2 linked regions of the Oryzias latipes genome follow. Each later gene encodes a partner of the first gene's protein in a complex. Links are inferred from orthologs where the notes say so. Each region holds a gene or a part of one and is shown in the gene's direction. Other genes may lie near its edges. The genes, in order: naa50 and naa15.

Region 1 (4,483 bases):
AACACTTTAAGTAGCATAACTGGAGGTTCCTAATCTGGTTTGAGAGGCAGCAGATGCCCTGAGAACAAAAACAAGCAACAACAAAAAATGTTGCATGTTCGTGAGATGACCAAGCAAACCCCCCTGACGGGCTGATGCTAACTGCAGACCCCGTGAGCCCAGATAAGATATATGAGGAATGTTGTTTTTAAAAGACAAAACCTTTAATACCGTTAAGGAAGACGTAACGACAGATGAGTGAGGTTGGCAGTCCGATTAAGATAGCTACGGATTTGTACCGATACTAGTGTCAATGCTAAGAGAGATTTCTTTGACATTGAAAAACTAGCTAGCTTAAGTTAATATTGATTTATTGTTGCTAAATCGCGCGTATATTTACATTTCTGGAATTAAACATTTATCCATCACAATGTAGAAAACGTAAGATGGCTGGGAAGGGAAGTCTGTTTCGTGGAAACGACTGTTCATTCGGCCTGGTTCCGAAATTGCAATAATTTTTACCGCAACACAAGAAAGCTTGCTAAGTAAGCGCTTTTCATTTCCAGCTCGCGAGCAAATCGCCGTTAAAAACAACTAAACACGGTGGGATAATAAATGGTCCTACCGTCTGGTCGTAAGGTGTCCGTTCCCTGTCTTTCCTCGAACGAGAAAACGCAAGATTGTGCGGTGCGTGACAGGAGGCTGAGGTCAGCTGACTTCATTCACTCGCGCAGCTTCAGTTTTACTGCTGGGCCCTTGCAACTGCCGCCATTTTGGGTCTACCCAGGGATTTCTGCAAAGATCGTTAGAGAGAGTGATCGACCACACCACAAATGTTGCGAACCCACTTGATATTGTTTGTGTAATCGTCGTGGTAATTTAAAAATGAGTCTTAATTAAGTTTTAGTTAAAAAAAAGAAAATATGGAGATTTTGAAAACATTGGGATATTTTTTGTCATTAAAAGAAGACTTAATTTAGCTTCTAAAATATAGAACTAATAGAATTATACCAGAACAAATGCAAGTTCGGAAAAGCAGTATAATACAACCTTTTAAGGTAAACAGATAAGTATAATTAAAAACAAAATAAAAGATAAAATAATAATTTAAATACAGTTTAGGCTGAAACCACAAAGTGTAACTTTTTTCATTCTTTTTATTGCAACATAAGAACTTTAAAAAATAAATTAATAATGGCAATCAACAATAAGTCAATGTACAGAAAATAAACAAACAATGGGACACAATGTACAGACAGGATAAAAAAATATTTTTAAAATAAAAAGAAATCGAGATAAAAGAAAAAGTATGCAATTGAACTTGAAATAAAACGTTTTCATATTAATTAAATTATTTATGCGATATTTCGTGCCGTTTGTTTAAAGAAACATGTATCGACAGGTAGTCAGTCAACTATCGTAGATCATTGACCATCTACTCATGTGAGTCGTGTTGAAATAACATTAACGATGCTTAATCCAGTTTGTCTACGTAAACCGTTATTGATTACTTAACTCAAATCAACTATTCATTTACTCAGGCTCATTGACACATCTTTTATGACAGAAACCAACTATAATCCTGAAAGGCAAAATTCAGGAAAAATTATTGAGTCTGCATAATGGCGTTTGTGCGCATGCGGGGGTCAGAGTTGACGCTCACAATCGTGGTAGAAGTGTGGCGGTTAAGCTAACTTTAATTGCCGCAACTAGCTACATGTGGAGAGTAAAACGGGAGGCATCCCGAATACCAACTCTTTTAATAGACATAGCTTATACCTGACTGAACGATAGACCTTACTCGAAAATAGGGGACACCATTTGTTTAAAATGAAAGGGTGAGTGTAGTATTTTAGGTCACAAAAATGTAGCGTAGCAATACTAGCACGACTAAAGTTTCTTGACTGTGTTGGGGAGAAGATGAGGGGACGACGGGGCTAGTTATTGTGCCAAGCTACTTAATTTTCGTATTTATCTAAAAGTTTATATATATTGAAGAAAAAAATTTATACTTGAAAAACACTGTCAGTACTGTTACTTTTGCTCCTCGCCGCTTTCGGCTCATTTGTGGCTTAAAAGCTAAGCTAACCAGCTAGCTGCTAGTACTGAGCTGAGTCAGTAAACTCAGTTTAGCTAACCTTAGTAGATATACCAAGGATATCTCTGGTTGTGCTTGTGAATACATTTAATTTAATTACGTTGTGTATAATTTCTTTTAATTATTCAACCATTATCGTGATAAATAAGCCCATGTCTGTGCTTTGTGTCAAAAGTTCATAATGATAGCATAGCAGCCATAACAGCAACTTTAGGAGCTTGGCTCAACTGGATCTGTCAAAGTACCGCCGCCAGTTATGCAGCAGCACTCTGCGTTTTTTGAAAATGTGCGTCTGGATACCTTCTCAATTTATACGTAGTTGAGTAATAATACGCATTTCAGACTCAGACGTTACTGTACATAGTACTTGGAAATGCAACACACGTGTCTGTCCGCTGTTTGTGGACACTTGGCTGTCCTATTTATACTTCTTGAAACGCATCAAAAGGTCAAGTTGACTTTTGTATTAGGACTATTTTTTCTTTTAATGTAAGTTTTGAACATAAAATTAATTTATTTTAATCTTAGTAACGCTGAAGCTTTTAAAGTTTAACATGGTTTCTCTTTTTAGATGGAAAATATTATTTTAAAACATTTTCTTTTGGAAATATTTTTGTAATTCTTAAAGCTGTGAATAATCAGTAGACGTTCATGACAAATATTCTATTTGACTTAGTATTTTTTCCATGATATTTTAGTATTTTCTTTGCTTTTGCATTTACCTTTGTTTAAATAATGTAAAATATGAATGCATCGAATGCCAAAAAATAGAGGAAATAATGAGGAAATGTTGAATGAAGAGTGATTTCTTTGTGTTCAGTTGTTGCGCAAATCAGTTCTTTTTTTTTAACTTCAATTTCAGTATTTTACCATTTTTTGTTGTAGTAAGGAAACATTTAACTTTTGTACTTTTTGTTAAAATACAGGCTTTTGATCAAGTGGTAAAAAAAGTTGAAAAAAAAGTATTACATATTTTATCCTTTAAACTGAATAGGGATGAAACTTCATTAATTAAATTGGAATTATTTCTTTATTGATATTTTTTTGGCTTTGTATAATATAAAATAAATTACTTTAATAAAAGCCATTTTTGGCTTTGGTGAGTCAAAAATTGCATTTTTATAATGTACATAAAATAATATACGGTATGTACTTATTTTACCAAAGCCTCTTTATTTGTCCAGCATTCTAAACAGTATAACTTTTAAACTACGTAACTTATTCAGTTGATCTAATTTTGTAGCTTGTTTAGCTTAGTTGTCCTGTTTGTCTGTGATTTGACCGTTTTGCTCTTGTTCCAGTAGCCGGATCGAGTTGGGGGACGTTACGCCTCACAACATTAAGCAGTTGAAACGGCTGAATCAAGTCATCTTCCCTGTCAGCTACAACGACAAGTTTTACAAAGATGTTCTGGAAGTTGGAGAGCTTGCAAAGCTAGGTGAGAGATGACTCATGTAGTAACTTAACACAACTCAGAACTTAAAACAACATCAAGTCATTGCTGAAGTTTATTTTAAACGGATCATGTGGAGCATGATGCAACTAGAGTATAGGATAAGTGATAAGAATTTATCACTTATCCTTAGATAAGAATTTCAAAATGTATGACTGAATTTGCCAACATGAAATCATTAAAAAAATTAAGGAAAACCAATTAATTATTGGGCATTTGAAACAACCTACAGGTTGTTTCAAAGATGGATGTGGATTCATCTTTAAAAATCGGCACTGTTTTACATCCTTCATAACATTTATGCTCTGCATTGGAAATTAAAGCACAGATGTTGTTGTTGTTGTAAGGGTACAAGCAAGTTATTGGATTCTTAAATAGTCAATGGACTTGACATGGTATTTTTAACATCATATTTTGATATTTTCTTTGCTTTTGCCTTTGTTTAAACAATTATAAATTAAGATAATGGTAAACGAATGCATCTAATTCAGTTTTGACAATTAGAAATATAAAAATACAATATTTAAAAAAGGATTGGAGGCAAAGTTAGCTCAGCAGTTAAGCTATAAATAAGCAAAAAGCAATCCAGTTTAGCAAATATTTCTATACAACAACCAGCTAGAAATCCTTTTTATCTCTCTAAGACCTCAGTTCAACTCCTGAACAGAATCCCAAAAAATTACAGTTGGATAATTTTAAAAAAGTGCTTTTCTTATTAAAGAAAATTCTGATGCATACAGAAAAAAAATAGAAGAAATTTAAAAGTAGTTAATGTCTTGTTTTGATAATTTAACTCTTAACGCTAGATTTGTTGTGGTGACGCCTAAATAACATGCTCTGTGACATACCTTAAATCTTGGACCGTTTACCTGATCGACATGAATTGGCCGATTCTGATGTGGAGAAAAGCAGCTTTTTATATCGGCTTTGCACCGAGACGCAATACTTTAGTC
Region 2 (4,469 bases), on another chromosome or scaffold:
TGCTTTGCTTTGTTTTTAAATTCAGGCAATGATTTATTGTTTATTAATTGACTCTGGTTTTGGATCAGAGGTTGTCTTCTGGGCAAAGCCTTACCAAAATCATCAATTTTTTTTATTTATTAACGAGATTTCTCTAAAGAAAATAGCATTTGATTGCTGAAAGCATGGTGTTTTGTAATCAGTCTGCAGCTGTTCTTACCACAGAAGCTGCTTTCTCGCTTTGGGAACAGCTTAGGTTTTAATTCCCTTAAATAACCCTGAAACTAAATCAATAACCTTGTTCCCATTTGGAGTTTGGGACCTATAAGCCACCCCAGACTGTTTTACTCCAGCCAAATTGAAGTACTACAAAAGATGTCTTATATTTGAAAGCATTTTCACCCCTTCACACTCGTACGTTCGCTTTTTCTAGTCTACAAGTGGGTGCATGAAAATGGAGTGGAGAGGGGAGCTTGTGGCCCTCCCAGCAGATTTTTTAAGTCACTAATAGGCTTTTTTTAAGATGTTTTCATCTGCCCCTGATTCACAATGATTTGAATAAAGAAATACTCATGAATGAAAAATTTGAACTTCATTTTTTTTTTGTCCTTGATCAACAGAAAACTGAACAGGTTAAAAACACCAAAAACAAACTTTTTTACGAAGTGGGTCTTTTTTGGTTAATAACGGGGTGTTCCTCAAAGGAGTCTTAAATACATATAGTACTATTGCACTAAAGTATAGTAACATGTTAATGACTTATGTAGCCTTAATTAGGAGAATATGAAACAGTATATGAATAAAATATTTTTTTTTAAACTGAAGGAGTACCGACTCAAATATATCCACAAATATCAGGTCAGGAAGACACATTGTGGTCTTGGTATTTTCTTTTTTTAATGTATACTAGCCTTTTATTATTATTATTATTATTATTGTTGTTATCTTAACAATTTTAGCACTTTTTCAAAATAGTAAAGTCTTGATTTTAATGACAGATGCACATCGTAGCTGTTTTAAATTAGTCGAGTTTTAATTTCTTGTTTTAATGACAAATGATTTGTGATTTTTATTATTTGCTTATTATTTAGGTTTGTGTTTTTTACTGACCGACTACTGTAATGCATTGCTTTTTTAGCTTCAAAATAACAAGCGGTAATTTTTAGTGTGGGTGTTTTTTTTTTGTTTTGTTTTTTAGTCAATGATGCACTGACCTTGGGAGTTTAAAATTAGTTGTACAGGAGTAAAATGATGCAGTATAAAAGTATGTATGTCGTGGTTATCAAGGTTTCGTACATAACTTAACGGTTAACGATAACGTACCGTTATAATCACAACAAAATTTATTTTAAAAAGGTTTTTAAGTGTTCAAATTAAAAGTAGTTTAATCTTTTTCATTGTTGTTATTTTATTTTGAAAGGGACTTCTCTCAAACGTGAGGCGGAAGTGGAAGAGGAGAGAAAACAGAGCAATCGAGCGGGGCGGGTGAGCCGGGGCCACCGTCGCTCAATTCGTCTGGACTGCTCGAGCTAACTTTAGCTACATGTGCTGAGGTCGAAGGGGAAGCCGATCCCGACTGCAACGATGCCCTCGGTTACTTTACCGCCCAAGGAGAACGCTCTCTTTAAGAGGATTCTGGTGAGTGCATGTTCAGGGAGGCGCCGAACAACAGCAGCCGAGTGGAAAGGTCCACCAACGGGGGCAGTCCGCGGAGCTCTCCGGTGGTTGGTTAGCATCGCTCTGTTAGCAACATGGCATCATTGAATGGGTTAGCCACCAAAGGCCTTGATGTGCGCTGTCACCGCAACGCCAAAATGGTTGATCGTGACCCTGTTGATGGTTTTCGGAAAGTGTTGTTGGTGCAATTAAAACACATTTTAGCTTAAATTAAAAACCTGCTGCACCATAAGGACTAGAATAGCCGAGAAACGTTTGACAGCCCCCCACGCTTGCCTTGGCTTGACACGCACCACAAACAGCAAGGTGTCGCGAACCGCCTTGGAAGCTAACTCGTTAGCTAAATAACAGTCGTGCGCGCTGGTAGAGTTAGCCTTCGCTTTTCCCGATTCTACAAGTTAGCTTGACGAAGCTTTTACCGTCATTTTAGCTTATTTTTGAGCGATTGCTGAGCGTGTCCACCCGGGTACTTTTTGTGCTGGAAGATTGTCAAGCTAACGCTTTCTTGTCAGTTTGCGTCACTTAATCGGCTAACGCCATCCAACCTGGTCATCTTGTTTTAGCGGACTTCAGGTGAATGAATGTCAGTCCGGGTGTGTTTCTACCGCGTGGCGTCGGTGAAATGACTTGAGTGGAGTTTTTATTTGCCTAAAACGCGCATAAACGGGGATAAAAGTTTGGGAGGGGGGAAAAAAAAGAGCACGCGGAAAAGAGCCGCGTGAGGGTGTCAGCAAATCTGTTGCTGCTTCAGGCCTGCCGTGCTTCTGCTCTGCCGATCCCCCTCTCCATGAGTCCCCCTGTGGCTTCCGGCAGTTTGCACCGGGGTTTTCAACCTGCACCTTTTTTATTTTGTGAGGATCATCTGAACTAATACAGGAGCTGATGGTTAATTAAAGTTTATTTGAGACTTGAAGTGGAACCTTTTTAATAGGTGAGCCTTCTGCACGGTCCTGTTCTGTTTCTAACATAGAAGCTGGAGACACGTGCATTTTATAGTGAATGTTTCACTCATTCACTCAGAAAAAGCATGCTTTTTACTGTATGTTAGCTTTATTTATATAATCTAAATGCATTTATGCAAACTGGCAGCTGCCCAGCCTCTGGATGGATGAGGGGCTGAGCAGGTGAGTTAGTTCCTCCGGCCCTGTGACTGCTGGAATCTGGGTCAGATAATCCGCATCCTTTCATTTGTATTTCAGCGGCAGAGCCCCTCTATTAACACTGAAGACAATGCCAAATCAAGCAGACAGCCAGCTGGCTGCCAGACTGTGCAGCTCTCTGGATGCTCCAGACACAGATTACCCTTGTGCGGCATGTCAGGATTTTATCAACATGTTATTTATAGGCTTTTTTTAAAGCCACAGAGACCTTTTTTTCTACTTATTTTATATTAGGAGATCATTTTTTATTCAACCTTTAATCCAGATTTTTTTGTAAGCAAAAATATAAGAGATTGTCATCACTTTAAAATGAATGTTTTAGTCAAGTAACATCCTCTTTTTGGCCTTGTGAAATGCAAACATCCCTCATTTGTTTGACTCATTCTGTAAAATTTAAAGTCATTCCTGACAAAAAGAGGAAACGACACCTTTAGCGATTATAGGTAAATGAATGTGAAGGATATCAATATTGATTACTTTTTTGGTGTGAAAACTCTTTTTTTTTTTATGAATTTAAAATTATTGGATTAATAAAATTCTTATCAACGAATTGAAGTATAACCTTTCTAAGCAGCGACCGTCACATTTCAACCTTTTCCCGCAGGATTTTATTTATTGCTAACTGTCCCCAAACTTTGCTTCTTTCGACAGCGATGTTACGAGCACAAACAGTACAGAAATGGGCTGAAGTTCTGCAAACAAATCCTCTCCAACCCCAAGTTTGCTGAGCATGGAGGTAGGCAACTAATGTGTGGAGGGATGGAGAAATATCCCCCCTTTTTGTGCTCATCCTTCAATGTCGTATCTTTTTTTTTTTTTTTTTTTGCTGCAGAGACGCTGGCAATGAAGGGCTTGACCCTGAATTGTCTTGGAAAGAAAGAAGAGGCGTACGAGTTGGTGAGAAGAGGTCTGCGTAACGACCTCCGGAGCCACGTCTGTATCCTTTCGTGTTTCGCAGCGGGAATCGTGTTCTGATGTTGTTGAGCAGGACGATTTAGCCCAAAAGAAAAAAGCAACAAGACCTCAAGAGGCCACACATAATGCATAAGAGCTCTTCTCACTGTGAAGCACCATCAGCACCTCCTCCCTGTGTTGCTCTCTGATGGAGGCTGCAGGAAATCTGTGCACATTTGCTGAATACTAGTGTCTCCTTAGCCAAAGCCCTGCCCTGAAGTCAACGCTGTGTTTTTCTTGGATTCAACTCTCGTGTCCCTTTTTTCTGCGACAGTTTTTGAGTCCCCTTAGTAGGTATGATTGAACCTGTGGACTGCATGCTCCTTAACCGTGACCCAGGCTGGCACGTGTACGGTCTGCTGCAGCGCTCGGACAAGAAATACGAAGAGGCCATCAAGTGTTATCGCAATGCTCTGAAGTGGGACAAGGACAACCTGCAGATCCTCAGAGACCTGTCCCTGCTGCAGATCCAGATGAGAGACCTGGAGGGCTACAGGGTGAGGAGCGACTGAGGGTCATGTGGTCTGTGGGTGGTTTCTGCGTGATCAAACTTCAAGGATGTGGTAAAGATTTGGCGACAGGATGTGTGAAACAAACTTGTATTTCTGAAACCGTTTCTCCTGGGCCACCATGTGGAGATCAGCTGGCAAATATGAGGTTCCACTCAGTCCATTTTTACCATTTTTGAGCAGCTCTCCT

The links.
Region 2: the proteins of naa50 (region 1) and naa15 are in contact, whole or in part, in a cryo-EM structure (PDB 6PPL), measured with the Homo sapiens proteins. The link is inferred for Oryzias latipes from reciprocal best matches to the Homo sapiens genes NAA50 and NAA15. Residues at the interface, in NP_079422.1 of Homo sapiens: Arg5, His14, Asn15, Lys17, Gln18, Arg21, Leu22, Val25, Phe51, Asn52, Ile54, Ala55, Leu80, Pro82, Tyr83, Leu86; in NP_476516.1 of Homo sapiens: Pro369, Pro370, Thr371, Leu374, Ser403, Thr404, Pro405, Thr406, Leu407, Ile408, Phe411, Glu433, Ala436, Leu437, Asp438, Thr439, Ala440.

Annotation. Positions count from the first base shown.
Region 1 is NC_019878.2:17,678,670-17,683,152, reverse strand, and holds the start of naa50 (N-alpha-acetyltransferase 50), read left to right. Parts: upstream 1-1,629; 5' UTR 1,630-1,809; coding exon 1,810-1,817; intron 1,818-3,378; coding exon 3,379-3,515; intron 3,516-4,483. UniProt on the Homo sapiens protein: N-alpha-acetyltransferase that acetylates the N-terminus of proteins that retain their initiating methionine. Has a broad substrate specificity: able to acetylate the initiator methionine of most peptides, except for those with a proline in second position.
Region 2 is NC_019859.2:5,608,099-5,612,567, forward strand, and holds the start of naa15 (N-alpha-acetyltransferase 15, NatA auxiliary subunit), read left to right. Parts: upstream 1-1,452; 5' UTR 1,453-1,563; coding exon 1,564-1,617; intron 1,618-3,467; coding exon 3,468-3,552; intron 3,553-3,648; coding exon 3,649-3,753; intron 3,754-4,109; coding exon 4,110-4,267; intron 4,268-4,469. UniProt on the Homo sapiens protein: Auxillary subunit of N-terminal acetyltransferase complexes which display alpha (N-terminal) acetyltransferase (NAT) activity. The NAT activity may be important for vascular, hematopoietic and neuronal growth and development.